2 linked regions of the Pelodiscus sinensis genome follow. The protein of the gene in region 1 interacts with the protein of each later gene in a biochemical or structural test. Links are inferred from orthologs where the notes say so. Each region holds a gene or a part of one and is shown on either strand. Other genes may lie near its edges.

The links.
Region 2: the proteins of RNF114 (region 1) and XAF1 form a complex in vitro, tested with the Homo sapiens proteins (2 studies listed by BioGRID). The link is inferred for Pelodiscus sinensis from reciprocal best matches to the Homo sapiens genes RNF114 and XAF1.

Annotation. Positions count from the first base shown.
Region 1 is NC_134728.1:19,612,467-19,628,467, reverse strand, and holds the start of RNF114 (E3 ubiquitin-protein ligase RNF114), read left to right. Parts: upstream 1-9,937; 5' UTR 9,938-10,040; coding exon 10,041-10,159; intron 10,160-11,402; coding exon of another isoform or gene 11,403-11,518; intron 11,519-11,745; coding exon 11,746-11,896; intron 11,897-15,773; coding exon 15,774-15,880; intron 15,881-16,001. UniProt on the Homo sapiens protein: E3 ubiquitin-protein ligase that promotes the ubiquitination of various substrates. In turn, participates in the regulation of many biological processes including cell cycle, apoptosis, osteoclastogenesis as well as innate or adaptive immunity.
Region 2 is NC_134731.1:14,573,503-14,588,639, forward strand, and holds the start of XAF1 (XIAP-associated factor 1), read left to right. Parts: upstream 1-9,183; 5' UTR 9,184-9,236; intron 9,237-14,974; coding exon of another isoform or gene 14,975-15,137. Other genes in the region: Na(+)/citrate cotransporter, read right to left, coding at 1,802-1,938, 4,420-4,548, 9,079-9,183; uncharacterized protein LOC142819268, read left to right, coding at 14,975-15,137. UniProt on the Homo sapiens protein: Seems to function as a negative regulator of members of the IAP (inhibitor of apoptosis protein) family. Inhibits anti-caspase activity of BIRC4. Induces cleavage and inactivation of BIRC4 independent of caspase activation.

The sequences.
Region 1 (16,001 bases):
GGGACATGATAGCGGTTTTCAAATATCTAAAAGGGTGTCACAAGGAGGAAGGCGAAAATTTGTTCCTCTTGGTTTCTGAGGACAGGACAAGGAGTAATGGGCTTAAAGTGCAGCAGGGGAGGTTTAGATTGGACATTAGGAAAAAATTCCTAACTGTCAGGGTGGTCAAATATTGGAATAAATTGCCAAGGGAGGTGGTGGAATCTCCCTCTCTGGAGATATTTAAGAACAGGTTAGATAGACATCTGTCAGGGATGGTGTAGACGGAGCTTGATCCTGCCTTGAGGGCGGGGGGCTGGACTCGATGACCTCTCGAGGTCCCTTCCAGTCCTATTATTCTATGATTCTATGATTCTATGAATAACAATTTGGGCTAGAGAGGCTCACACACCAGGGTCTCATCAAGCATGCAGATTTTAAAAAATTCATCTGAACCTATAAAATAACTTACTCTGGTATTCCCTTTTCAATCTGTTTGAGAGCCTATAGGTAATATAGTGAAAGCCTAAACCCATACCTAATACAGTGAAAGCTTGCTCTAACCTGGCAACCTTCTCAATCTGGTTTCCATGGTATACTGTTTGAGAAAAGCTAGGTTCTCTCCTTGGCACTGCCTTTAACATGTTGACAATTCTACATTTTCAAAGAGACCATTCTCCTGGAATATTCTTCCAGTGCTACTTGTCAGTCAACTTTGCTGCTAATTCAGCCTCAGAACCTTCCTGTGTCTGGTACAAAGTCAAGACACTTTATTATAAATCACTGCTGTCCATCAGTTACCTGCACGAGCTCCCATCCTCTCTCTAACTTCAGAGTCCATTTACACTGAAGGAAAACAAAAGCCAACCCTGACCAACCACATCATGAAGCCTCATAGCTTGGGTCAACTGGGACTAAAAGGAACAATGCAAATGTTCCTAACTGATCTGGAACTCAAACTCTGAAGTTTCTCTCCTACTCCCATGATTTCAGAGCGGCAGGGGCAGCTAGCTAAATGACTATCATTAGCGCCCCAGCATAGGCCAGAGACAGCTGGAGGGCAGGTATTTGTTTCTGCAATGTAACTACACCCGTAGGACCCTATGCAAAACTTGCTGTGGATTGGACAGTCAATGGACCATCCTTCTCTGCATAGGCCACACAGTGGCCAGAAGGGACCACCGGGATCACCTAGTCTGACCTCCTGCCCAACACGGGACATACCTGCTCCAGCATCATTCCCTGGGCTGAGATTTTGCACCCTTAGAGGCATCTCCTCCCAGCCTAGCGGCCCCCCCCCCCCCAAGAGGAGGAAGTCTCCGAGTACATTACCAGGGGCCGGGGGACGCCAATGTGAGCCCGAGATCTCTCTGGCCCTTCCGCACCTGTGCTCGGCGGGGCTACCCAAACCTCCCCCAGCCAGGGAAAGCGAACCCAGGGCCCGCAGCGGGGCAGGCCGGGCACCCCGCACCGGCAGGCGCACGAGAGCCGGGCGGAGAGGGGCCCGACAAGGACCCGCAGGGCTTACGACCAGGAGGCACCCGCGGGACCCACCCCGCACCCGGAACTCTCCCCCGCTGGGGCCTCCCCACTCACAGCTCGCAACGAGGGGAAGCCGTAGCGCGCCCCGCGGCCAGCCGCCCGCCTGCAGGAAGCCGCCGGTGACCCGGATACAGACCCCCGCCCTCCCTCAAGCAGCCGGAAGTGACCCCTGTGGGAGCGAGAGGGGAAGCACAAGGACCCGGAAGGGCTTTGGCGCATGCGCGGTGCTCTCGGGAAACACTGCTGTAGCTTGTAAGGCAGCCCTCCGTCCCTCTCTCTTGTCCCTTCCCCCCCAGCGAGGCAACCGCATGCTCCTGGCTCCAATAAAAGCGAAACAGTGGCAGCCACCACGGGCAGCAAATCAGTTTAGGCGGAGGAAGTGACGTACTACTGAGGTCCGTAGTCATTGCGCATGCGCTTCTTTGGGGACGTCACTTCACGTGTGATGTCATAGAGAAGGATTTAAAGGGCTAGAGTATCTTCCTCAGGTTTTTTTTTCTTTACCTGGCCTCTTACCATAAGGGCTCTTCCTATAGACCTGCAAGGCCACCTGTAGCTTGACTACTCCTGTCCAGCAAGGGCCCAGGCTGTAAGTGGCCTGCTGGATAAAACTGGGCTTTTCACAACAGGGCAGCTCTGGCAGCAGGTGCTGATAGTCCTGGGATGTGCCTGGTTGCACCAGCCCTGCTTGAATGAGAGTCCCAGGTACTTCATCTAGAGCCCCGGTGTCTAACACACTATCCACATGTGGCTATTTGGCTGGTTGAGTGTGACTAGTTGGCTGGAACAATGTGGCTATTTGACTGGCCGAGTGTGACCAGTTTGCTATAAGAACTGGTTGGACACCACAGAGCTAGAGCCTTGTTAGGTGAGGGAGAAGATGGATCAGCTTTTCTGGCACTAGCTAAGGGCTTGTCTGCCCTATAAAATTAAGTCAACTTTATGCTGATGTACAGCCATAACTGTAATTAAAATGATGTTTCACATCGCACTATGCTCCTTCGTCAGTGGTGTGCATCCCTACCAGGAGTACTTCCAATGAGTAAAGTGGGGCATTGTGGGAGCACTGCCAGCTGGAGATCCCACTCACCCACTGTAGAGGTAGCAGGCAGAGCAATCGGTCTGGTGTGGAGCTCACAGCTGGAGTTGGTAGATGCCCTCAATACTGCAGCCAGCCTGCAAGTGCCCAGTTGGAGCCAGGATTATGGAGGCTGACAAACTCTTCACACCACAGTGGCAGCAGCCCTGGAAACCTCATCTGCAGGTGAGATTTTTGGTACTGCTAGGCTCCCAGCTCCAGGACATTCTTGTAAGTTACATGGGGACTCCTATTTCACATTTTGACTCTTGCTCCCTGCTCTGCCCCATAATGGGGAGGGGAGGTGCGCTCCAGCTATCAGCCTACACGGGATGGACAGCCAATGTGATGTAAACAACATAGTGTCTACACGGATATTGCATCATATCTATATCTACCTAAATTGAGCTTTTCATGGAGGTAGAATTATTAAGTTGGTGTAGTAGACAATTTAAATCAGTGGGAGCAAAATGGTAATATAGAAACTTACAGAATTAGGTTGATGTAAGCTGCTTTACATTAACCTAACTGTGTAGTGTACACCAGGCCTCAGTGACTGATAAACTCCTTTGCAACCAATGCCTCGGAACAGGACAAAGCTGCCACCCCACAGAATCCATCTTGAAAAATAAATGCTGTTTCCGATCCTGACCTGGCCACCCACCTGCAAATGATTTAACTGTCAGAAAATGATCAGAAATGGAAAAAACACTGTTTTCAAGTTTTGACCTGCTTTAGTGTTTACTTCATCACCTTTGTTCCACAGAGAGCCAGAGAAGAGGATGAGCTTTAGTCAGTCTGATTCCAAAATTTCTAATGCATTACCAATGTGATGTATTCAAACAGCATCATTCAGAACCCCAAACCATGAGACTTGCAAACAAGAGTTGGGCGTGCATAATTTATTTTTATTTTTATTTTTGAGCTTAAAAGCTCATAAAGGTTCACATTTTCCACGTTTTTCTAAAACTTTGAGCTAGAAACACGCTTTTAAATGAAAATTGAAATGTTCATGCAGTTACAAGAACACAGGAACTGAGGCCTAAGGAAAAAAACATTAAATATTGTAAGATTTGTGATAAAACAACAAGAGTTGGCAACATAGCATGGACTATTTCTTGGGACACGCATAGCAATCCAGCAGAACCTCTAAAAAACAATCACATGTGGGGAGGCAACAGGATGCTGCACTAAAGTGGGAGGAAGGAAAGCTTTGACAGGGTCATTGGGTCACTAGTCCTGCTTATTCTTGGGATTAAATGGGATTTTGAAATGTGCGAAAGAGTCACAGCCTTGGTCTTACATCTCATTTGAAAGATATTAAGGTCAATTCCAGCAGCTCAATTTCCTCACTTTCTAGAGGAGAAATGTGTTACATCATAATTACAGCAAAAAAAAAAATCCTTTAAAATAATGCAGAATGTGGCTACTCATTCACAACAATGAAATCTATTGACAAATCATGAGACAATTATTTTATAAATTGCTTTGAAAGCCACAGAATAACAACAGCATTATCCTTTTCTAAAAAGGTCAATATTTCTTATATAGCCAGAACAGCCATGATGATAAATGAAGAGGAAAATAGCATGACGGTTTGTTACTAGAAAACACCCAAATCATATGCTAGTAATAACATAATGATTAAAATGTGGACAACCTGCATCCTTGAGGCTATGTCAAAAACCAGGCAGATTCTGCCTGCTCACGGTTACTTACATTCTGTTGCTTTAGCTATTTTTTAAAGTATTTGTTTGTTTTTAGTAACAGGATCATTTACCTTTTGTTCCACTTAAGATCAGTCTGAAACTAACAAACTCCATTTCCTTTACATTCTGCTTGAAGGGAGCTGATTTTACCTCAAGCCTGGCTTGTTGTTCTAACAATGTTTAGGTTCTAAGGCTGCTGGTGATAAGTGCTAATGTGTTTTACAGCTGACTAGAAGCTGATTGTTTTCCAAGACCAACTCTGAATGTCAAAAGCATAGTTGTTCTTTCTCTGCATCTTCAGTGCATTATGTTCCATGTATGGCAGGTGACTCCATCTGACAAAGCACTCAGTGAATTCAGTTTCAGGAGGCCTGTATCACTTGCAGGCAGAAGCAAAGCGTTAGCAAAGTCTAAACTATAAGACAGAGTGTCAGGCACCATATGATAAGGGCTTAAATCTGACCCATTAAAGCCTTTACAAATGAGTCCTTATTTTGCAGCTGGTTCCGAATTTAAACTCAGGATTAAACCTACCCGTGGATATGCATGTGCAGTTAATATGCATGTTGTGAGCACAGTTCTGAGAAAAGAACAGAGACCTTCTGTCACTGGCAGTGTATCCATAGCTTTGATTTTCTAATTCTGCTAGTTAAGTGACAAGGCACTTGGCACATGAATGGAAACATTTGGCTTCACATATACAGTATGTTTTCCTCTTGTATTTTTCCTTCTGCCTTCCTGATTTGCATTTCACACTACTCTCCTCTCTAACTTCCTCCCCACCAAAAGTTAATTGTGAAGCATTCAAAGTTTTACTTAAATCCTGCAGAGTAGGACAGTGGGTTAGGACAATATCTGCAAACTGCTCCATACATAAATTGCCACCATCCTTGTTAGGAAAGGATGCTTTTTTTATTTTTTTAAAGAAAAGATTGATCATTATTCCATTCAGTCACTCATAGATTTTAAGGCAGGGGTGGGCAAATACCTGAGCCTCCACAGGTACTGGCGATCGCAGCTCCCATTGTCCACAGATTACTGTTCCCAACCAATGGGAGCTGCAGGAAGCAGTGTCCTAGTCTGCACCACTTCCTGCCACTCCCACTGGCTGGGAACGGCCATCCGCGGGCAGCAGGAGGTGCGATTGCCGGTATCTGTGGAGGCGCAGGTAGATATAGCAGCAGCAGCCTGCCAAGGGCTAACCCTGGCAACCACCACTGTTTTATTGCTCACACCTCCTTTAAGGCTAGGAAGGACCATCATGATCATTTAATCTGACCTCCATCATGCTGCAGGCCTCAGAATCTCACCCACCCACTCCTGTAATCGATCCCAACCTCTGACTGGGTTACTGAAGTCCTCAAATCATGATTTAAAGACTTCAAGTTACAGAGAGTTTACAGTACATTAGTTTAAACTTGCAAGTGATCTGTGCCCTGTGCTGTAGAGAAAGAGAAAAAACCCATCATCTTTGCTACTCTGACCTGGGGGGAAATTCCTTCCTGACCCAAAATATGGCAGTCTTGTTAGATCCTTAGCCTATAGGCAACACCCACCAGCCAGACACATGGGAAAGAATTATCTGTAGTAACTCAAAATCCTCCTTATCTCGTGTCTCATCACAGGCCATTGGAGATATTTCCTGCAGTTGCAGATCAGCTACATGCCATTGTAGACCGTCTCATTGTACCATCCCCTCTCCCCATAAACATCAAGCTCAGTCTTGAAGCCAGTTAGGTTTTTTTGCTCCCCTTGAAGGCTTTTCCAGAACTTTACTCCTCTGAAAAGTCCTCCTTAACACAAAAGAGTTACTGTACCGGATCAGACAATCTGTTTCTTAAAAACTTGATCCTGTATCTCTCAGCTGAAATGCTGCATATGGAAGTGTAATGAGTACTCAGGGGAACCCAGTTCTGCACTAAGGATAGTGATTCTGCATGGCTGACAAGTAACTTCCTAATAGCAAAATTAAAGCTCAAAGGTCATTTGACAAAATATTTCATGAGAGTGGTAAAGATGCTATTTGAGATCTTCAGATGTGCTCATTCTTCCCCAGCATTGCTTCTTTTTACCCTGCACTGTGGCAATGGGGTAGACATGCAAGCGGCTTGATGCTTATTACTTGCTCATTCCACAGGGCTACACTTGGGGCTTGATTCAAAGCCCATTCCAGTCAATGGGTGTCTTTTCATTGGCAGCCCGCCTTTCCTTCATGGCCCGCCTTTCCAGAGACCATCTGTACACGCTCATGCTCCACACACTGCATTTCCTCACCCTCGTGTCCCGCTCCGATACCAAATGGCAGGATTATTTAAGATCAGTTGAAGGTAAGGAATCCCGACGGACCAGTGTTTATTCCACCTTAATCCCACATCCCATTGAGGACATCAGCTGGCAGCTCCTCCATGGAGCCATGAGCATGGGTGCATACCTGGCACAGTTCACCCCCGTCCCAGACGCCTGCCCCTTCTGCGGCGTGAGGGGAAACCTGGTGCATGAATATCTGGAATGCACCAGGTTGCAGCCCCTTTTCCAGCTCTTCCAGAACCTATTGCTGAGGGTCTGGCTGCACTTTTCCCCTCACCTTTTTATTTATGCGCACCCCATCCATGGCCCCACAAAGTCACAAGACCTCCTTGCCAACCTCCTCTGGCTCTGGCAAAAGCCGCAATATATAATACCAGGGGGAGAATGCTGGATGAGGGGGTGCTCTGCAACTGTGGGGCCTACTTCCGTTCCACCCTTGTGTCACATATCTAGGCAGAGTTCCTCTAGGCAGTGTCCGCTGGCTCCATAAACAGCTTTGAGGAGCAGTGTCCCCATCCGGTTCCCTCATTTTAAACCTTTGACCCGCACCACTTGACCCTGTTTTTCATCATTTGTCCCTCGTATTTAGTTGAGCCCTGGGCCCAGTTGTCCCTCCTGCAAGGCTGGGGGAGGGGCTTTTAGAAGTGGGTGGGCTGGCACCCGCCTACCCCGTTGGGTTCAAATAGTGACTTCACTGGGCTTACAGTCTGGCTCTCAGAGCTTAGTACTTGCACCCACACATAGCTGCTGCTCACACTTAACTGCAGTGCAGCAGCCTTATGTTCCCTTTTGTGCAGTGAAAAAGGATTTACAGGATGAAATTGTAACTCATAAGGTGATAGACAAATAATGCCCAATGCCTGCCATTTCAGAGGAAGATGAAACTCACCAATAACACAACTTAGTCAGTATATGACATGACAGGGTGTGTCCTGCACTGAAGAATTTAAACTATGAAGCATAAGACTCAGCATTCCTATTTTAGCATTGCTATATATTTCTGTCCGTATTTTCTAGCTTGTATTAAAGTCAAGATTCTGTTTCAGTCTTTGATCTCCTCCTGCTGCAGTTGGCTGTCCACGGGAGAAAGCATTGTTTTAAATTTACATCCCCAGTGTATTGTCATCTGTTTACCTCCCTATATTACAGGATGATGGTATGAAGAGATGGGGCTGAACTCCTTTCACTGAACCAGTCATATTGTGAACTATTTAAACTAAAGCCCCTTCTTCTGCACCGTTTCCCTCCACTTAATATAGCAACCCCGATACAATTAAAGACTATATGTGCAACCCCAGTTTCTAACCATCTCCAGTGTCTATCTCTTGTGTGTCATTTACACATTTCTAGTACAGGCTGTTTCAGCAGAGATGTGTTCTCATAATAATTATAATAATTTTACATGTATATAGTACCTCAGTCCTAATTATTAATTAGTATTATTAATCATATATATGACAGTAATATTTAAAGATCAATCAATAATGGGGCAAGGCACTGTATAAATACAGTGTAATGAATGGTCCCTGGCAGTGTGGAATTTACAATGGAAATAGATCAGACAGACACAGGATGGGAGAAGGGGTAGACCACACAAGTTGGTTGAAAAATATGAGGGCAACAAACACTTAAGGGCCACCTTTTTTGGAGAGTGTGGAGTGCGGATGGAAAGGAAAGTGCAGAGCGACAGGGCCGGGGAGAAGATGGTAAGAGGGTAGGGTTGCCAGGTGTTTAGTTTTGAATCAGACAGTCCAGTATTTGAGCTTTCTGTTCAGGAAACAAATTGAGAAAATATAAATGTCCAGTATTTTCTAAATAAGATGTAATGTAGATTGTGATGTAACGTCAAGTGTGTCTGGTATTTTTGTTGAAACCATCTGGCAACCCTATAAGGGGGCAGGGGCGGTGTAAAGCAGAGGTGAACAGACTGTGAGGGAGAGGATTACAGCAAGGAGACAATCTCCACAAGGCAGAGAAAGGCCACTCAAAACAAAGAAGTTAAATGTCTAAGGTCTCTGCTTTGGCTGCTGGCTAGAGTCTACATGGCTCCATCCTCTCTGCAGTTACTTTTCCACCAAAGGTCACATGGGAGGGAAGGCACCACTTAAGTCCTAGTGCTGCCATAGTAAGTAGGGACGTACCAAATTCACAGCCATGAAAAATGTATCATGAACAGTGAAATCTGGTCTCCTGCTGTGAAATTTGGTCTTTTGTCTGCTTTTACCCTCTACTATAAAGTTTTCACCAGGGAGAGCAGTGTTTCTCAATTGGGAGTTCTGACTCAAAAGGGAGTTGTGGGAGAGAAGTTGTATGGTTATTTTACCAGGGTTGTGGTATTTTCACCCTTACTTCTGTGCTGCCTTCAGAGCACCTCACTCTGAAAGCAGCACCCCGCCAGCAGCAGCACAGAAGTAAGGGTGGCAGTTCATACCATGCCATCCTTGCACTGCCACCCTCAGAGCTGGACAAGCTGGAGAGTAGCAACTACTGAGGGCTTCAGTTCTGCAGGCAGTGTTGCAGAACCAAGGGTGGCAACACCATTTTGTGACATCCTTACTCCTGCACTGCTGCTGATGGTGGCTCTGCTTTTTCAGAGCTGGGCTCTTAGCACTGTAGCTGCCATGCTAACGGCAGCGCCACTGCCAACAGCAGTGCACAAGTAAACGTAGTAGCACCGCAACTTTGTGATCTCCCCCCAACTCCTTTATGAGCCAAGACCTCTACAATTACAACACCACGAAATTTCAGATTTAAATTGCTGAAATCATGAAAATTGCAATTTTTAACATCTCGGACCATGGGGCTGAACAAAATGGACAGTGAATTTATAATCAACACTGCATGAGCTGTACACACATTGCATTATTGAAGGTGGAAGGTGTAGCCAAAGGCACATATCACTCCATATATGGCAGAGGCAAGGAGGGAGCAAATTTTAGCAACTCCATCAGTGGCTGGTTGCATCTATGCCATGTTGTAGCCCTTTTCTCTCCTGCCTGGCCATGCACTTGCCTGCCTGTGCCCATGCACGGTGACTTCCCTGCCCAAATGTTCCTTAGCTGAGTCACTTCCCGCCCAGTTTTGTCCCCTGGCCACTCCACTTGCCCACTATATCCTGAGTGGCTCTGGCTCTGCTCAGGCTCCTCCCTGCCTATTTCCTTACCGAGCTCTCGCCCCACCCACCTGCCCTGCGCAGTACGGCCCCTGGCCAGCTGTGGGTGGAGCTGAAGAAACTCGATCCGTCCTGGGGCGTGTCCGAGCCGCGAGGGGGCGTGGCCAGAAGCCGTTGCTGTCTTGCGCGTGCGGATTAGGCCGCCGCCCTGTGGCCCACTCGGAGTGGGCGTGGCGGAGAACTAGCCCCTTTGGGCCGCCGTCGCGGCGCCCGGGCTGCTTTGCGGAAGTGCGGGGCGAGCGGCCGGTGGAAGATGGCGGGGGTAGAGAGCGGCTCCCGGTACCCGGCGCTCCAGGACCCGCTGTCTCGCTTCACCTGCCCCGTCTGCTTGGAGGTGTTCGAGAGCCCGATGCGGGCCCCCTGCGGCCATGTGTGAGCGGACCCCTCGGGGAGGGCCGAGCGCGGGACGGGAGGGTTCCGTGATATCGGGGCTGGGGCGGATCCCTGAGGCGGGGGGGGCCCCTCTGAGCGCGCGAGAGGGCGGGGGGCACGACTGGTGGGGCCTAGGCGCGGGCACTTGGAGGCGCCAGGACGGAGTTGTCACTAGTGCACGGTTCCCGTGTGGGCCCCCGCCACACACCCCCCCCCCCCCCAGCCTGGGGAGCGGGCCTGAGCCCTTGCGAAGAAATGGGTCTGCTGATGCTGTAGGATTCCCGAGAAACGCTCCCCCGCTACCTGTTAATCCTCCTCCTGGAGCCCGTTAGCCCCATTGGGGCTCAAAGCCACAGGCCATTTCGTTGCGGGGGGAGCTTTTCCTGAGCAAGCCCTGAAAGATTGGGCCCTAGAGGGATCACTTTTGAGCACCTGGTAGAAAATCCGACTGTTCAAATGGATAGCAGTGAGTGCCGGGATTTCCCATGGCTAGAAAAGGGTGGAGTCCCAGCCGGTCGATTCTGGGAAACTGTACCAGAGAGGGAATAGAAAGCGAACCAATTTAATTGACGGCAGCATGTGCTGGTGAAGGAGAAGTGTGGAATGGGCTAAGGAAGAAGCTTGGCCTTTTTTATTTTCAGGTATATGGGCTCATCTGCAGTGCAGTGGTGTGAGTGTTATGGAAACACTAGATAAAATGTGGGTGATTTGAGCTGTGGATAGAAGGGCTGAGAGTGGGACACCGACAAGATGGGTGGGGTAGACAGCTTTCTTACAAAATGAGCTCTCTGTTTGGCTGTGACTAAAGTGAAACTTAAGTACAGTTCTGTCTCTGCTGGGACAAGATGCCCTCCTTTCCTGTAAAATTCACAGGAGAGGCTTCTAAGAGGAAATAAGCCCTAAGGTTAGACCTGCCTTATGTTAATCACACTGCTTTCCTTTTCTACAGTACAATGTTGCTGTCGCAATAGTCCATTAAAATGGTCTAGTTAATGTTTTCTAACATGACATTTTTCTCAGGTGAAATGTACCATTGAAAGAGCAATGTACATCGCCTTCAAGTTCTTGGGTGGAGGGGGGGCCTAAAGAAAAGGGTTTTGCAGAGCAAGCTAAGGCCCCCTTCTTTCTCTTTATGCATCTAGGGAGAATAGTTGGGTGACTTTTACAGGTTATATTTCAGATTACTAAAAATGAAAAATGAAAAGAATATTTTTTCAGTTTGTTTATTTTGTGTGTTTGACAGCACTTTGGTTAGCTTCTCTATGTAATCATTGGGTTTTGCTGTTTGTGTGGATTTTTCTATTGGAAACAGTGAAGAGAAACTTTGAAAAGAGGAAATGTAGCATAAACCACAAATTGGTAAGAGCATTCGGGGACAGGGACATGACTTGAAACTGTTTTTAAATTGACTAGATTTACAGTGACTTGGCTGTCCTTTAGTATAACACACGTATCAACAGATTATTTGTCAGTGGGTGTTGTCACTTGGGACTTTTTTCTTTTAGAGTAGGTCTCTATTTTAATGGGAACAATACACGTATATTCTACAACATGCATTTTTACAAATCGTATTTCTCCCATATTAGCTTTTGCACTCCATGCCTGCAGGAATGTCTGAAGCCTATTAAGCCAGTCTGTGGAGTCTGCCGCAGTTCCCTCTCTCCTGGCAGTAGAGATTTGGACCTGGAAAAGCAAATTGAAATGACAGAAACCACTTGTGATGGCTGCAATAAAAAAGTATGAAAGAACAAAAAAGGAAGTACATATATAGTTAAAATAGGCAAACAGCTTACATGGAAATGCACTATTTTGCACATCAGCTTTCTAGGGAATAAACAATCAGAACTTTAGTTTTGATAAATAATTTGCACGGACTGCATATAGGGCAGGGGTGGGCAATATGCGGCCTGCAGGCTGGATCTGGAGTGCCAAACCACCAGACTTGGCCCTCAGCTGCCTCGCTGGGACCCTTAGGCACAGAGCAGCTCATGCCACTTTAAATGGCTGGCTGCTCTGGACACTGGTGAGGAAGGATAGAGGCTTCTCCTGCTAGTCCATCACCCAGCAAAATCTCTCAACTGCCTTTGGCCAGTTTTCGGCCAACAGAAGCTGAGAAATTTTGCTGGGAGCAGGGGCAACATGTGAACCCTCCCCATGCTGGAGTAGAGCCACATGGAGCATCCAGGTGTTTTGACCAGCTTGGGACAGCAGCAGACAGCCTGCCTCCAGTTTCTGCAGGGCTGCTGTTTGGGAGCCACCTAGGTAAGAGCCTCTCAGCCAGAATCTGCCTCTGGCATCCCATCCCCTCTTTTTCCCCCACAACTACCTGTCCTAGGCCACCACTTCCTCCTGCCATAGGGTCACCAGCTTAACCCTCTATAGCCCCCTCTCCCCAACTGTCCAGGTCACAACTCCCTCCCAGGCCATTGTACCCCCTCTTAAACCCTTTCCCCAGGCCAGAATCCTCTCCTGCACCCATACCCCCTCTCAGACCATGCATCCAAGCTTCTGCCCCATATCATAACCCTGTCTCACACCTCAACCTCCTACCCCAAACTCCCTTCTGCATCCAAATTCTGACTCAGACTCCACATTTCCTTCTATAATAAAAGCGCAGCCTTTGATCACTTACCAAATTCTTGGAGTTCGCACTTCCCACCCCATTAAAAATTATTGCCCCCACATGATATAGGGTAATGATACCCTTTCCCCTGTTGCTGCTGTTTTTTCATTAATAGGTAGATTTCAGGTACAAATACACAGTTCACATGAAGCTGATGATGCAGTAGGTACTGAGTTACATCTATTTCTTCAGGAATAAGTTCTGTAAATACAGAACATAGTGAAAACTCTCTTAATAAACCAATCTGCTAGTCTCTTAATAGAAATAATTTTCTAATAAAGGTATATTATAATCTGTTAAAAGTTATGTTTGTATCTTAAGACAAAGCTGTCTACAGGTAGTGTTTTCTATAGACGTGAAATTCACAAGAAGATTGTGTATGCAATATCCTTTAATCAATTTTATTTCTGATGGTAGGGAAATAATGGAATTGCTAGTCCTTCATGTATACAGTGCAGTTCAGGAATTATTGGATACCTGGCAGAATTGTTGCTTTAGTTTGGACATATGCCTGGAAGTTCCATCACATGACAGAATATTTAATAGAGATTAACCTTTAATTCCTGACAATTCCAGGGCAATCCTGGAGGATTGACAACTGTAACAGCAGGTGATAAGTGCCATAAAAATAAAAAGCACTAATCAGCTCTTGTTACTTTGTTATATGGCACATAGTGTGAAACTTCTACAGTTAATATAGTCCTGTATCTAAATATTAAGATTAATCTTAGATTTGCCTTAAGGAAATTATCATTTAAAGCTATTTAAGGGGCATTGTCGTGTAAAACATATTGTCATGTAAAATTATCGTTACTAAATGCCCCCTCCCTGTTAAATAACGCGCACTTTTTTTTGTTTCTCATTTTTATGCTCTGCTTTTTGTATTTAATGTAGCTTGAGAGAGCATAACAACTCAATGAGTTTCACTTTTGTTTCTGGTTGGTTTCATTTTTGTTCCTTGATGTTAGATTAGATCCTACTAACACCTGAGTCATTCATTCTCTCTCTCACTCTCTCTCTCTCTCTCTCTCTCTCTCTGGCCTTATGTTCTACTATCTATTAAATATTTTGAAGAGTTTTTTGTTTGTGGATTTGTTTGTGCAAAATAAGGTCATACTTCATGATTACCTACAGATACCAAATTTGTATAAACAATCCTGCCACTTAAATTAGCTGAATGCAGTGCTTTTTACACCAGAATATGCTGGATGTAAATCGGTGTTTCTCAAAGCGATCTGCAGACCCACTTTGAGAGAGATTCTACCAGGCCATTCTGGTTTGTTTACTTACCAGCTCCGCAGTCACGCTCCCATTGGCTGTGGTTCGCTGTTTGCTGCCAAGGGGGAACTGTGAAACTCCGTGCCTGTGGCCCAGTAGCAGCTTTCTTAGAGTGGGTCTGCAGACCACTTTGAGCAACACTGTTTTTTCTGATGATAAACAAAAATAATTATTAAAAAGTCATGACTATTATGATTAGAGTTCATAAAAAAAATTAAAATCAAGTTACCTATTCAACTGTCACTTTAATGCAAAGAAAATTTTTACAGTTACAAATCACAGAATAATTCAAATAAGTTTCAGAAAGAGTAATGGAAGCTTTATGAATTTCTGATTCAAATTTACTATGTATGATAATTATTCAATAAAAATGAATAATGTTTGAAGTTGAAATCCTACCAGTTTAAAAATATTATTTTGCTTCCCCTTTGCAAGCATATTAATAAAATTTCTATTACATGTATTTAATTTCTTGATCTTTCCTAAAAGTGTAATCTACACAAAATAACTTTGCCCAGTCAACAAAAAGCTTCACCTGCTAGGAGGGAGGGAGGGAGGGAGAGAGAGAGAGACACACACTGAGACTCCTCTAATCTAATGGTTGGGACTTCTACCTGTGAGGTAGGAGATCCCAGCTCCAGTCCCCATGCGCCAATCACTCATAACAGTAACTTTAACAGGAGAGATTGAGGCAGCCCTATATCAGAATACCCCATAAGTCTGTGCCCTGGCTAATCCTTTGTCCTTCTCTGGCAGAAGGGGGAAGTTACACCTGGGTTTGCCACATGCCAGGCAAGTGTTTTAGCCACAGGGCTAAGTGTTATAAAGCAGGTCTGTCTTTTCCTTGATTATGGGCACGTCTGAGGCTTTAGTGGGAGATGGGTTTTGGACACCTAGAAGAGGACATCTGCCTGCCTGCCCACAAACAGAAACTTAGATGTTAGGGGAACTTTCATTCTGAAAAATGTAGGTGCCTATAGAGGTGTGTAGTTTATGTACTTCAGGAGAGCCAAAACTGGGACTTCAGTGCCTAAACACCTTTGTGGATCCCACCCTTTGTAATATCTTTGACCTTAATTTGATGACACAAGTGATGTGTGCCATTGGTGACAAAACCACACTTAAAACCATTTCCTTATTAGAATTAATAGAGAAGCTTATGGTTTAAACTGGTTATATATGTTAACCAGAACAGCATAACTAGCTAGACTTTGATCACTAAAGTTCTATTTAGGAAAGTACCTTTGTCCTCTGCATTTCTCTGACACTCTTATTCTTCCCTGGTATAATACTCAGTGAGGTATATTTTAGAGTCTGTCACTTGATGAGTAACCTACTTCCACTTGATCCTGTTGTTGCAAGGAATAGTGAAAGGAGGAGCTAGAAAACTGACTTAGTACAAAGCAGATACAGTAGTTTTGTGCATCAAAAGGGAATATATAAAAAGGAGTGAGCTGTGCTAGGCAATATGCAATGTCCATTAACAGAAGAGTGTTATAGCTTCATTAACTTTTAGCTTCTGTTTATAGCTCCTTGTTCTGTTTTGCCACATAGGCCAAAACATTTGGCTTTTCCTACTTCAGTCTTATCTGAACATGAAGCTTCTTCCTATAGCAGTTGGTTTGTAGATTCCACTGTTTGTTTATCATCCTTTTTTGAATTTTTAATTGAAAATAACCTTGCTTGTTAACTCTGCCTCTTTTGCTCACTTAGATGTACCTCTCAAAGATGCGAAGTCATGCAGCTTCTTGTTCAAAATACCAGAATTATATAATGGAGCGTGTTAAAGCTGTAACTAAAGAACCACCTCGAAACACCAGGTGATGATACCTCATGAAACACTCCTTTTTCAGATCCATTAGAGCAGTGTTCTCGGGTAATTAATGTACAAGGCTGAGGTTTAAGATGGAAGTGGTTTTAATTGACTCTGGGGGTAGGGGG
Region 2 (15,137 bases), on another chromosome or scaffold:
TGCTCTCAGAACTGCATGGAGCATGTGGCATTGTGCTCTAGTGGCAATTCAAAGGGCCTTGCACTCTAGCACCCACTGCAGTAGCAGCAGCAGTGGCCAGGAGACCTAGGCAGCTAAGAATCACTGGGCTCGGGGGCAACGGCTCCCTTTGATCCCTGCCCATCGACAAGCCTGGGAGCAGTGGTGTTGTTGGCCGCCCCCTCATTAACATCAGCACTGGAATTAATAAGACACAGACCGGGCGCCATTTATGTCTTCTCTTTGCTAACAACCGGCTGGAACAGGACGCAGGCTTTTGGCATCCATGAAAAAGGCATCAGGGCTCTCAGCATCACAGATATGCTGGTTCCTGGAGCCTGAGCACAGCCTGGAAGCAGGGGAGTAAAACCCTCCCCACCGCACTGCCACAGCCACTTTATGGCTACTATTGCTGCCTATGGCTTGAGCAACAGCTGTTACCCCGCACCGTGCAGTCTAGATAGCTCTGGTCCCACTGAGCATCTCCTTGCCCCCTCTGGGGCCTTTGCCCTTGTCATCCAGTCTCTGTGCGGGTAAAGAAGGTGGTGCCCTGGTAGGAAGCTCCCCAGCCTACAGGTTGGGCACAGTCCCCCTGGGTGATGTGTCCATTGCCTGCCTCCCCACACAACAATTCTGAGGGACTTAAGCACCACACAGGTGGGAGGTAGGAAGGATGTGACCCAGAACAAACTCTCGGGGCATTCGGCCTCAAACTTATAAGGTCTGTTCTAGAGCCCTTCTGGGACCTGACTGCCTGTGTCCAGGCCTGGGGCAGGTCAGGTGGGAAAACACCTCGACCCTCTTAGCCTCGGGCCTGTAGGATTAGTGCGGTGCTGGCTGCGTGGCCTACGCCTCTCGGTTGCCATATGAGCTGAAGAGCCTGGCACCTCTTACTCTGCAGCGCAGGCAGTGCAGCAGCAGGGCATGCAGTCCTCAGTGCATGCGGCTACCACCCCGCCAACTCCAGAGCAGGAGGCAGATACAGCAGCACTGTGGAAGGGTCAGGTCAGAAAATGACTCAGCCCTCTCAGGTTGGGGTCATGCGGGCTTGGGTCAGGCTTGGGGTGGTTTTACTCCAGCTCCCCAAAGAATCAGATTCAAACAGGGACTGAATGTCCAATCCAACAGCACTCTGCCCCCAAATGGGAAACACGAATGCCAGGCAAGAGGGGCTTAATGAGGCACTTGGAACTGCACTAAGGCCCATTGAGTCCAGTGTAAGAATTGATAAAGACAGGTCTGCCGGTGGGGCAGGGACAGTTGCCCTGTGGCCTGTCAATTCAAAGGGGATGGAGCTCCTGGCCACTGCCACTGCTACTATTGCATTAGTGGTGGCCAGAGCCCTGGGCCCTTTGAATCACTCTTGAGCACCTCTGGAGGGCTAGCTGCCCCAGCCCTGTCTCTTCCACCCAAGGGCCCGCCCCTTCCAGGAGCATGGAGCTGGGCCCCCCCCACACAAGTGGTGAACTCCCCAAAACAGAATCCAGCTCTTTGTAATTCTACAGAAAGACTTCCGCTGACTTCAAACATAGCTGAAGGATGAGCATCTTCCCTTGCAGCCTTTCTGCCCTTCCAAACACTGCCCCATTTCTGCGGGTGTACACAACCTCTGGAAGCCCTTTCTAGAGCAAGCAAAACCACTGAGGCTTTTGTAGGCTGTGTGCTGTGCAGCTCAGGTCTCCTGCTCTTCCCCATTTCTCCTGGCATCTGAAGAAGCTTCTGCTAAGCTTGGCTGTTCCTGATCACAGATTGATAGGATGGCAGGTTTAACAGGGCCTCTTACAGTGGGGGTTTCACTCCGACGATCAGCAGGACCCTCAGTGCAATGCGTCTGTGCAAATTCCAGTGTTCCACGGCTACTGCCACAATCAGCCCCCCAACAAACAGCATGTTGGTGTCCTTCAAGTACTGCATACACACCTGCAATGAGAGGTACTGCCTGTCAGTCTCTGATCCACAAATATCAACAGCCATGATACTCAGGTGCAAGTCCTATACATTTTCTCAGTTCCATGCCTCTGTTTGCCTATTTAGATGCTGTGCTGCTGTGGGCAGGGGCTGTCTCTTAGCTGGTTTGCATAGCACCTACTACAATGGGGCCCCTATTGGTTGAGGGCGGTAGAAGCAAACAACAGCATGTACTATAAGAAGTAAAGTCGCTCAGAGTATTGCTTGTATGCTGTCTGATTCTCAAAGATGCCAAGCAGCTCTGAAAATCAGCCCCATAATCCTACCCCTAATAGGTCACCAGCAGTGATTGAACCTTGCACTCTCAGAATCAACACACAGACTTGTATCACTCAAGTTCAAGTAGTAAGCCCATTAGCTGGCAAAAGTAGTAGGCGGTTATCTTTTATTAGTATCAGCATACTCTTTGGCAGCATGTTACATACATCTGCTGCAATAAAAAGCTCATCCCAAGCATCTGAAACCTCCCAAACATAAGCCCTTGATCAACAATAATTTTTACATGATCCCTTAGCTTTTAGAAATCTGAAGTTGGGTGTTTCAGCACCAAAGCACATTCCTCTACCACTGAAACATTAACTCCACATGTGGCAGCAGTAGTAGGCTGTTCTCCTCTATTTGGACCAGCTACTAAGGAAGAATAAAATCCACACTTCGCTGTCCTTTCTGTATAAACACCATATAGCTTGTTTCATATCTTTCTATGCTTGCACAATTTCTCTGTCAAGTTTCTTTGCTGAGGATTGAGGTTGGTATGTGAAAGAGGTTGAGGTGATGGATGTTAAGGTGTGAGATGCCAGGAACACACCTTTTTCCACTATGAAAAGAACCATTTCCTTACAGAAAGCAGTAGTGCTTGTTCTAAAAAGGCAGTGTGTTCAGAGGATGGCACACTCAGTCCACCCAGGAGGCCTGGGTTCTGATCTAGGTTCTACCAGGGACTGTCTGTGTGACCTTGGGCAAGTCACTTCATCTCTCTGTGCTTTGGTTTCCTCATGCATCTTGCGTGGTTAGCATGTAAGTGGCTCAGATCAAGAACTACCACTTACCTGGTGTTTATACTTCACCTAACACAATTCGGTTACCAGATGGTTTAAAAAAATCACACTTGATTTCAGATTGGGGGGCAGACTGGCCGGGAGGTGGTCAGAGGGGGCCGGGTTGGCTGGGGGAGATGGGGGAGGGGAGAACCAGCCGGCGGGAAGCAGGGCTGGCCGGGAGAGGGTTGGGGAGAGTGGGGCTGGCTGGAGGAGATCAGAGCAGGGGGAACTGGCCAGAAGGAAGCAGGGCTGGCTGGGAGGAGGTTGGGGGGAGCAGGGCTGGCTGGGGGGAACTGACCACTGGGAAGCAGGGCTGGCACAGGGGAGGCAGAGCATCGCTGGCCTGGGAGCATGCAGATCCCAGGGTGCTGTCCATCCCGCGCATGGTCCCGGCGGCGCACATGGGCGAGTCTGGCCCCGGGTATTGCTGCCCCCGTCCTCTCTACTGCATAGCTGCATACTGCCTGGCTGGTAGACACGCTCATGCAGTGTGACTGTGTCTATCAGCCAGGTAGTACTCAACTATGTACTGATACTCATGATAATAATAAAAACTTAATTAGAAAATACCAGACATTTATATTTGTTTCCAGGACAGAAAGTTCAAAACCGGACACCATGCAACCCTAAACACAATGGTTCCCTAAATTTGGGAGGTGCCTCTGGGTGCTATTGTAATATATATATATAATAATAATTTGCAGAAAGCCATCAGATGTATGTGGTACATTTAATCTCAGTGGATCCCAAAGTACTTTTACAAACTACAGACAGAGGAATCCATTCACTCACCACATGGTGCAACCACCTCTAGGGTCCAGCACAGTGGCCACTATTAATAGCACACAGCAACACTGCATGACCATGAAGACTAGCAAGTGAACAAGCACCCTACATCCAGTATATATTGATGGGGAAATGTTGATAGGTAGAATAATAAGGAGTGTGAGGCAATCTCTTTTATTGGACCAACTTCTGATAGTGAGCGAGACAAGCTTTCAAGTCACACAGAAGTTGTCCAATAAAAGAGATTGCCTCATCCACCTTGTTTATCCAGTATGCTAGGACCGACACAGCAGCACAGCATACAACAGCTAGAATGTCATTTTACAAACTTGCTGCCAGGATCTGACCCTTAAAGTCTCACTCCAGTTCAAATCTTGTTGGTAAAACCAGGGCAGAGATGAAACCCAATCAGATCCTTAGCTGAACCAGAACTTAGGGTCAGCAGTGCAAAGCACCCAGGGGATTCTGTTCAGTGTTACAGTCATGATGAAAAGCCACACATCACATATGATAGGCACAGACACACCGGTGCATTGGAGTATGCTTGTCTAATCTGGGCTTCTGATGTTTATGCTTAAATCCAAGCTGACCTAGAATCAGTTCTTACCTTTTTAGACTCCAAAATTCCAAACATAGGAAACAATATAGCAGGCAGGAGAGCTGTGACAGCCAAAGGGATGACTTCTGTGCACCAGTAAACTGCCATGAGGATGATAACATAGGCACACTTGGCCTCCTGGAATACAACAAAGGTTTAAGCACAGGGAATCGAGTGTATGGATGAATACACCACATCTCCCTCTATATCCCAGGATATATAAATGTCAGTTCTCTAGTTCCTTAGGAGAAGGGAAAGAACAACACTCCTACTAGAGAGCTATTTTATTCTCCAAGAAACTATTCTTTGATACACAGCTGGTGCAATCTGATAAATTTTAAAGGCAAAAATATACTCTTCAGAGATGGCATCCTGGCCACATTGAAGTCAGTCAATTTTTGCCACAGACTTCAGTGGTATTAAATACCTGCAACTCTCCATTGGAGTTAACTGGATCTAGGCCCATCTCTACAAGAAGCCAAATCCTGAAAGAGACATTTGATCTTTACAGCTCAACCGGTTACTCAGAAAGGAGCCTAAGTGAACATTCATATCAAAGCTTAAAGCCTCGCCCGGAAAACAATGCATAGGCAAATCTAGGGGCATTGTAAATGCACAAAGGCTTCAGGCTAAAAAGTGTAGTATGCGGGAAAACCAGAATTCCCAGAGAAACTGCTAACCTAAATATTCAGCTGCCAATTGGCATTTGATTCAAGCAGGAGATTCCATGCCTAGTAGCCAAGCTGTTTAGAAGCAATTCATGATTTTCGATGGCTCCTCTTGTGGGTACTCATCTTAAGACACTTAAAAGGAGCCTGATTTTCACAGTACAGATAATGGCTTTCTGAACATCAGGTTACTAAGTAAAAATCTTGACAACTGAGGTACCCCAAATCACTAGCAAACACTTGAAAATCTTGGTGTCATCTTTCTTCTGAGTTGGGGCATCAAACTACCTCACTGCAGTTACCATGTTTTCTTAACACGGGAGTTGTCTGGACTAGAAATGCCTAAATATGTCCCGTGAAACAGTTGTTGAGATTTTTATAACCTAGTGATCCTAGGGTTTGTAAATCGAATCCTCTTAGGGGTAGTAGGTATTCATTAACTCACTGTAAACACTATTTTGGCTCTTAGGTGTAAATGCTCGATAGTTCGCAATTTCCTTTGGTTCATACTAACAGTTTATAGAAGGAGTTGGCAACCTGTAGCCCAAGGGCCTCATGCAGACCATCAAGATTCCACATGCGGCCCGTGAGACATTTTGTTTACCTTTGTCCATGAGCAGAGTCGTCAGATTCTGCTGGTTTCCTTCCACACCGTTTTTTCCTACCAGTATTACTAAAGTGACACACACCTAAAGCAAGTGAAGTGAGGTGCATGCTAACGGAACACATGAAGTGAGGTGCATGCTAACTGAACACATGAAGTGAGGTGCATGCTAATTGAACACAACATTGACTGTGAGAGCCATGTGCTCCCGCTGCATGCAGTCAAAGTACCGCTATGTTTCAATCAGCACACACTGTAAATGCTAGGTACATAAGAGCAGTTAGCAAAACTACCCCATCATCTTGGTTAGGAACGTCTTGCGTCTCACTGAGATGAAGGAGGGCCACTCATGAGGCCCAACCACTAGCCGAGGTTGCCCATCTCTGTTTTACAAGGTCTTAAGAATTCTTTTTATTGGCAAAACAAGCAGGCCATAAAATGATATTTTCAAATGTGCCGTAAGGCTTCATTAGCTACTTCGCTTGTCTGCATTTGCATCCCTAGTCCGAACTAGGGAGCAAATGTAGATGTACTCTTACATGCAGCAGGGTATTACTTATTTTTTGCTGACAAGCTCTTCATATGTATAGAAAATATTATTTTTAAGTAATTAGAAATGTTCATCAGTTTAAGAGGGGTTATTTATTGAACATGCTTTGTAATTCTGCTTAAGCTAGAGTATAGGAAAGATATCAAGGGAAGAGACTTACTTAAAATGTCTATGTCTTTATAACGTGATCTGAGGTCTTGCAGCAATAGCTAAGTGTTAGAATTTACATAATGTGATTGCATTTGGCCACTGTGAAAAACAGAAACAGCTCTGAGAGGCTAAAAGAGTGCACAATACAGTAGAGTACAAACATTGGTTATTTAGAACATGAAGTCAATAATTTACTTAAAGTTCAAAAAGACAACAATGCTTATAAATTAACTCTTACAGACATAGTCAATTCAAGCACAGCTCTGTTCAAAAAACTGAAAAACAAGCACTAAGGTTAGAGAATAGTCATGATTAACACTAACAACTATACAATGTTGATTTTGCTTCTTTGAACAGGAGGCAGAAAACATAACATTCTGTCCTCTCAGAGAGCAGTTGTGAAAGTGATCATTGATGGGAATTCCTGTTAAGCAATCCTGCAGTCTCCTGGAAAAATGACACAATGTTTATGCCTCATGCTCAAAAGGTACAAAAAACCTCACTAGACTCTTATTAAATTGTACATTGCTACTCTTGTACATCACAGCCCTATCACAAGCTTTTGTATCGATCCTACAATATTTGTCATCTAGCTAGTGCTTTCAATGGTTAAACCCCATCTATGAAGTCTCCCACCCTACCTCGGTGCAACTCACAGTCATTTCTCTTTCACAGGAGACTGTCAAGTTGACCAAAAGGCAGGGCTGTTATTAGGCAGGTAAACCAGAAGGGATGGCATTTATTGTTGACAAATAAGCCTGAGGTTTTTCTGAAGTTTAAAATATACCACGCATTTTAGGTCAATCAAAAATGACTAGTTGTAACATTATTTTTAGAGCAGGTCCTACAAACTATGCCAGACCATAATATTTGGTGCAAACATGTGTGGCAGACAGAAAAGATAAAAGGCCTGATCCTGGAGTTCTTACACCAGCTTTGCACTGGCATAGTTCCAATGAAATCAAAATACAACAGTGGACAATTGGTGTGCCCTCGTCCTAAATCATCAGGCACAATGTTTTACTTTTTACCTCATCTTCTCATAGGTAATAATCATGGTGTGCATTTATGCAGCTCAGCATGAGAACATCTCAAAACTTTTCACAAATACCAAATGTCATACCACGCTCATGTTATTCCAGTTTTACAGATGGGAAAACTGAGGCATGGAGGCAGCAACACAGCAAATCAGTGTTAAAACCAGGAGAGGAGGATGCTTCTGACAAAAACCTATGTACATGGGCTGAAACTTGAAACAATGTCTTTGTGGACCAACAAACTTGGTATCTAAGGGTGTTTCTAGACTACAGGATTTTTTCGAAAAAAGTGGCCTTTTTTCAAAAAAACTTCCCCTGCATCTAGATTGCTGTCGCATTCTTTCAAAAGTAAATCAAAATAACGCGGCAGTTTTTTCGACCGCAGAAAACCTTGTTTTACGAGGAAGAACGCCTTTTTTCGAAAGTGCTTTTTTGAAAAAAAGCATTAGGTAATGCAAACTGTGCTTTTTCGAAAGAGACCATCTAGACTGCGTGGGTGCTCTCTTTTGAAAAAGCGGCTTGCTTTTTCAAAAGTACTGGTTGTAGGCTAGATGCTCTTTTTTGATAGAGGCTTTTTCGAAAATATCTTTCAAAAAAGCCTCTTTCGAAAGAGGCTTTCAGTCTAGACATAGCTTAAGCTGTAACACTTATAAGATTAAAACAATGGCAAGTTTTGCGTCTGTGGGGTGATCCACATCCTGGCCCTGAGAGATTTCTTATGACCAGTTTGTATTTGCATCCTTTCTACTTCAGGGGCTCCTGTTGTACTGTTTACTGCCTAAGGTATAGCCTGGGACATACATGCCTTTTTTAAGGGTTACCCTGCAAGTGATCCTACCCTGCAAGTGATTACTAACACTGGGCATCCAAAAAAGTGCTGCAGTTCAGGTAGTAAAGGGTTAAAAACCATCAACACTGATTGAGCCAACTACGAGTTATTGAAACAATTCCCCTCTCTAGACTTCTCCGCAGAAGTCCATGCGGTTACCCTTCATAGTTTAGTATCAGAGGGGTAGCAGTGTTAGTCTGAATCCGCATAAACAAGAAGTCCTGTGGCACCTTTATCTGACTTAAGTGCGTCTTTGCCCAGGAAAGCTTATTCTCCAGTAAATCAGTTAGTCTTGCCACAGGACTTCTCCTTCTTCCTGGTTTAGGGAGAGAAAGGATGCCATCACCAGGGACTTGCAGCTGGCAAACCCTATTGCAGCGAGTTGCCCAGAAGGACTGGTTGGGAGTGCAAGGGGCTCCCTGTTGTTCTCCTCGATGGATGCTGGGCGCTGAGAAATGCAGCTCCAGCCGGGCTGTGGTCCTGGCCAGATCCTCCAAGCCTCTGCCAGCCCCGTGGTGCTTGAGGGTCAGGGGCAAGGACCACGCCTCGCTACGACCCCTGGAGAGCCCCCAGCGCTACGCTGCCTGGCTGCAGGGGGGAGCAAGCAGCAGTGGGCAGGAGAACAGCAGAGACACCAGCATCCCTGGTACCGCTGGTGCAATTAAGAAGGATTGGGAGGGGGGGAGTCCCGCAGGGAAACCAGAGGAAGCGGGACTTCGCTAGCACATAAAAGTGACCTTGGCGGGAGCGCCCCCTCCCGCGCCTAGAGATCCGGGACCCCCGGACACAGGCCCCCCCTCCCAGGGAGAGGAGCCCCCAGAGGCGCGTACCTGGGTGGGGATGAGCAGGGGCAGCGCGAGCAGCAGCAGCGGGGTGCCGAAGAGCACGACGCAGGACTTGAACCGCAGCAGGGGTCTCAGGCACGGCGGGGCCATGGCCCGGGGCGCAGCGAGGGGATCCGAGGCGGCGGCGGCGGCAGCTGCAGCGAGTGAGCGGGACCTGGCGACAGAGGGAGGTTTAAATACACCGGCCCGCCCTGCGCCGCGGCCGCGCCCTGCCGCCCGGGGGAGCCCCGGCATCCCCGCCCCCCGACCCCGGGCCACACACCGCCCCCCTCCTCTGACCCCAGAGCCCCTCACCGCCCCCCCCACCCCAGAGCCCCTCACCGCCCCCCTCCTCTGACCCCAGAGCCCCTCACCGCCCCCCTCCTCTGACCCCAGAGCCCCTCACTGCCCCCCCGCCCCCAGAGCCCCTCACCGCCCCCCCAACCCCAGAGCCCCTCACAGCCCCCCTCCTCTGACCCCAGAGCCCCTCACCGCCCCACCGCCCCCAGAGCCCCTCACCGCCCCTCCCGCCCCAGAGCCCCTCACAGCCCCCCTCCTCTGACCCCAGAGCCCCTCACCGGCCCCCCCGCCCCCAGAGCCCCTCACCGCCCCCCTCCTCTGACCCCAGAGCCCCTCACCACCCCCCCGCCCCCAGAGCCCCTCACCGCCCCCCCAACCCCAGAGCCCCTCACCGCCCCCCTCCTCTGACCCCAGAGCCCCTCACCGCCCCCCCCAACCCCAGAGCCCCTCACCGCCCCCTCCTCTGACCCCCAGGCCACTCACCGCCCCTCCCGACCCCAGAGCCCCTCACCGCTCCCCTCCTCTGACCCCAGAGCTCCTCACAGCCCCTCCTCTTCTTACCCCCGGGCCCCTCACAGCCCCCCCTCCTCTGACCCCAAAGCCCGTCACAGCCCCCTGCCCTGCCCCTCCTCTGACCCCCGGGCCACTCACAGCCCCCCTCCTCTGACCCCAGAGCCCCTCACAGTCCCCTGCCCCGCCCCTCCCCTGACCCCCAGGCCACTCACGGCCCCCCTTCTTATCTCTCCACAGCCCCTCACAGCCCCCCTCCTCTAACCCTGGGGCACCTCACAGCCCCTTGCCCCTCCTCTGACCCCCTCCTTGAGCTGCTGACAGCTCCTCCTCACAGCCTCCCCCCCCCCAGCTACTCACAGCTCCCCTCTCCTCATCTTACCTGCCCCCCAGGCTACTCACAGCCCCCCTCCCGCCTTCTGACCCCCCACTCCCTGAACTACTCACAGCCCCCCCCACATCATTCCTTTTACCCCCTGAGCCTCTTACAGCCCTGATACCCCTCCCTTAATTCTTCCACCCCTTGTCTAGACACCCCTCCCCCCCATGCTCCAGCCCAAGGCCACTCGCAGCCTCCCTCCATCCTTCCTCTAATGCCCCCTCCTCAGCCACTCTCAGCACTCACACATCTTTTCTAAGTGCCCTCCCCTGCCACTGGCACTCACGGCACCTTCAATTCCTCTCCCAGAGCCCCCACCTGGGGCCACTCAAAGCCTCCCTGCCCCTCATCTATCCCCCTCCCAGCCCTGGGCCACTCACAACCTCTCCTGCACCTCATATAACTCCCACCCCCCACCAGGTTAACCCACCCCACCCCTGTGAACCGCTCAGTCCCCCCTGCGCCTCATTTCACCATCCTGAGCCCTGTGGGCCACTCTCTGCTCCCCCAATTGCCCATTGTCTAACCTCCTCCAGCCTTGTGGGCTACTCACAGCCCATTGAGGGGTGGCAGAACTTGGTGTTAAATTCCAACATGGCTCCCAGTTACCTCCTTGCCCCATCCAGCACCTTCCTGTGCCCATGGTAGCCCTTGGTGGTGGGGGGTGTCATGCTCTGGAGTGCCCCCCTTTCCTGCCCTGTGGCAATGCCAATGTGTGCAGAAGGAATCATGCTCAGTCCCCAACCTCCATGTGCCCATGGCAGACCTGGGACCTATCCTGAACCAGCCCCCCACCCTATAATAAGCCCCAGCTCTGACAAACAAACCCATCTCCCTTGCTCTGCCCGGGCAGCCACTAGTCCCAAACTCTTGGTGGATGCATTTCTCAGTCTCTGTAAGTGGGGGTGGGGGAGAGGTGGGATACAGGGAAGAGTTCCAAGCTTGCTTGTTGTGAGCTGCGTTGGCTACTTTTTTACTTGTCAGGGCATTCCAAGTTGCTGGCAGCTTGTTGCTTTCTTTGCAGGGGAAAGGGGGAAGTAAGGGAGGGCAAGAGGTTTAAGAGTGAGGGTCAACGGTCCCAGACGGCACACCAGGGATCCAGTCACACAGAGCATTGGCAAGTTTCAGAGGTGTAGCCGTGTTATTCTATTTCAGCAAAACCAACTAATCCTGTGGCACTTTCCAGACTAACCAATTTATTAGGGCATAAGCTTTTGTGGGCTCCTGCCCTAATAAATTGTCTAGTCTTTTAGGTGCCACAGGACACCTTGTTGATAGAGCACTGAGGTTTGTTTTACGGATCAGCTTATTTTGGCCTTCTAAAACAGGATGAGCTTGGCTTTTTGCTTATTGTGAAAGCCCGGGTGCTCATTGACAGCATGAAAGTTGGCAAGTGGCACTTAAATGTCCCCCAGGAGGAATGATCAAATGCAAGCTAGTACAAAGTATTGATCTTCCTAGCATGGCTCTTCCCAATCCCCTCCCCACCACCCTCCTAGCCCCAGCCTCTCCTCCGGCCCCCCTTTCCAGCCATCCCCATCCTCCCCACCTCCTGCAGCCCCTCTGGCCACCCTTTCCAGCCCTCCCCAGCCTCCTCACCTCCTGCAGCCCCTCTGGCCTCCTTTTCCAGCCCTCCCCACCTCCTGCGGCCCCTCTGGCCACCCTTTCCAGCCCTCCCCATCTCCTGCAGCCAGGCAGCACTCACTCCACCTTCTCCTTTCCTCTGCTCCCTCCTTCCACTTGTCCTGCCCTCCCTCACCTTCCCTACAGGGAAGCTGGTAAGGAAGAGCCAGGGCTCTGTTTACTTCCAAGTGCCCCCTTGTGGATGAACAAGAGAAACTCCCTGTGCAATGGTGCTGTCCTCTTGGCCTCAGGCTACTAGCGAGACAAGGTGTGTGAGTTAATATCTTTTCTTGGACCAACATCGGTCAGAGACAAGCTTTCCAGCTTACACTGGGCTCTTCCTCAGGGCAAAACAACACAACAGCTGGTAGAAGAACAGTTATTAGCTCGCCCATTTTGTTTCAATAACAGAAATTCTATCTCTGTAGTTCCACGATTGCCTGTTGAAAATTCTGGCATGCAGTCTGTCCCCCATGTTCGCTGCCTGCAAAAAGGAGCCATGTGGGGCTCCAAGGAGAAGGAGGCTAAGCTAAGCTCTGACAACATGAGACTTGAAACCATGCAAGCAATAATCATATTCACGGTTATTGCTAGTTGGACTGTTTTTAATAAACAGTGTGTCCCAGCCTGTGTTATCTCTACTCTACCTCTGTGTGCATGTTTTATAGCAGTGTTTCTCAACCAGTGGTACAAGTACCCTTAGGGGTACTTGAGAGAAGTCTGGGGGGTACATCAACACAACTGAAATTTGGAGAAAACTGAATTTTTGTTTTAAGTTTTACAGCGCTTTATTATTTTTGTACTTTTTACACCCAAAAATGTCATTTTTTGGAGACCATGCTACCTCCTGCAAGTGATAATGGTGCTTAAATAGACATATTTCCTGTTTGCATGAGCTCTACTCCAGCATGTGCTGAAACACTGCTATGTTGGGGCCAGATCCGTTTAACTTTGAGGGGAGCTGGGCTCAAGTCAAGACGGAGGGCTATGATCCTCCACTGCTTTGCACCTTGGGTAGTAATTGGCACCTGAGCAAAGTGGGCATAAAATGGACATGAGAGAATGGGGGATTCTGGCCTGGTGGCATTTTCCATGCTCCATTCACAGGTGTTAACAGCAAACTAAGGTGCATTGCTGTAGGGGACAAGGACTTGGGGATCTGATCCTGCAAACCCTGATGCCAGGCCAGTGAAGTCACAGGAATGGTTTGCACAGCTCAGGATAAGGGCTGTGTAGATGATTTAAGTACTACTGGCACATTTTGGCCTCCAGGAACAGTCCCAAAAGGAGATGCTTTCCTCTGATGTGCTTGTTAGCATAATGGATACCTATGCAGGAAATGAGAAGCAGGCCACAGCAGCTTCCTTGCATAATATAAGGAGCCCAGAAAAGATTCCGCAAAGGTGGAGAGGCTGGAAAGGGAGATGAAATCAGCTCATACCTGCACTCATGTGTCCAGGCTCCAGCAGCAGATGAAAGTGCCAGCAGCTCTCAAATAAATAACTACAAATAGGTAACTTGTTATAGAAGCAGTGCTTGTTTCTTGTACCTAAGCAACTAATGCAAACACAGTTAATTGGTCTGTGGCTTCAGTGGAGAGGCAGCAATTGTGCACGCCCAGCAAATACAGACTAAAAAGATATCACCAACAATGCTGCAAGGGATACTTTCTAATGGAGCAGCTGAATCAATACAGGGAAAGTCTTGGTTGAAGAAGCTGCTCCCATGAATTCTTCTGACACTGAATCCTGTGTCTCAGTTTCCCCCTCTACTACAAAAGAGGGATGTTAAGGTGTCATTCAAAGCTGTCATCAACATCAGACACTTGTCATCAACATCACTCAGCTGTCATCAGACACTTTTGTGCCTATATTCCATGAAAAAAGAACAAAAAAATATCCCAAGCAATTGAGACTTAGGCACTTCATTGGTTGGCTAATGGAAAATCAGAGCCGAGAGGTAAAAGACAGGCAAAAGGAGACATATGGATAATGGAACAATCCTCTAGTCTACTGTGGTTTGAATAGAAAATGGAGTCATGTGGGTGATGCGTCTTCCAAAGGAGAAGGAAGGCAAGGAATGTTGGAAACACAAAGTTTCCTGCAGTTTGTCTCAGGCAGTTCCAGAGAGGACAAAATTAAGAAGAGAGGGAACAGAGGGTTCCCTGTGGGGAAAAATAGATGAAGAGGAAAAGGGAGAAAAAGAAGATCTGGTAGAGAGAAATCTAGAGAGATGGAACCACCTGAAAAGCTATGACCTTACCATTGCTCGCTCAGAGTTTTATGAAGGGGCTGAATTGCTGCCTGACCGGATACTGCTGAACTAGACAGTTTAGAACCAAAATCCAGACATTGCTGAATTTGGGGGAAGAGAAGGGACAGCTGTAAAATTCAGACCCAGTCTTCCAAAGGCCAGAACAAAAACACAGATCTGCCTTAATACAATTTTAACTGGCAGATGGTACCAGCTTCACAGTATTGCCAGGAGCCAGCCTCACAGGGTATGTCTACACTACAAGTTAGTTCGAACTAACGTCCGTTAGTTTGAACTAACTTTCCTAGGTGCTACACTAGCGCTCCGTTAGTTCGAACTTAATTCGAACTAACGGAGCGCTTAGTTCAAACTAGGTAAACCTCATTTTACGAGGATTAAGCCTAGTTCGAACTAGCTAGTTCGAATTAAGGGTTGTGTAGACCCTTAATTCGAACTAGTGGGAGGCTAAGGCTTCCCAGGTTTCCCTGGTGGCCACTCTGGCCAACACCAGGGAAACTCTATTGCCCCCCTCCCGGCCCCGGAGCCCTTAAAGGGCCACGGGCTGGCTACACAGTTTGTACCAGTTGCAAGGCTGCCAGCACCCGTGCCTGCACAGCCTGCACCTGCCACAACATGAGCCAGCCATCCGAGGGCTCCCAGCCCTCCACTGCTCCCCAGGACCAGCCTGGCGGCTCCCAGGAGCCTGCCCGGGGGCACAAAAGGCGGGCGCCCGCCTGGTCAAGTGCGGAGATCATGGACCTCATCGAGGTTTGGGGGGAAGCCTCCAATGTCCACGATCTCCGCACTAGCCACTGGAACGCGGCCGTCTACGGCCGCATGGCTGCCAGCCTGGCCGCCAGGGGCCACCAGCGCAGCCGGGAGCAGGTCCGCTGCAAAATTAAGGACTTGCGGCAGTCCTACTCCCGGGCCTGCCTGCCAGGGGCCGACCCGGAGGCCTGCCCCCACTTCCATGCCCTGGACTGCATCCTGGGGCCTCATG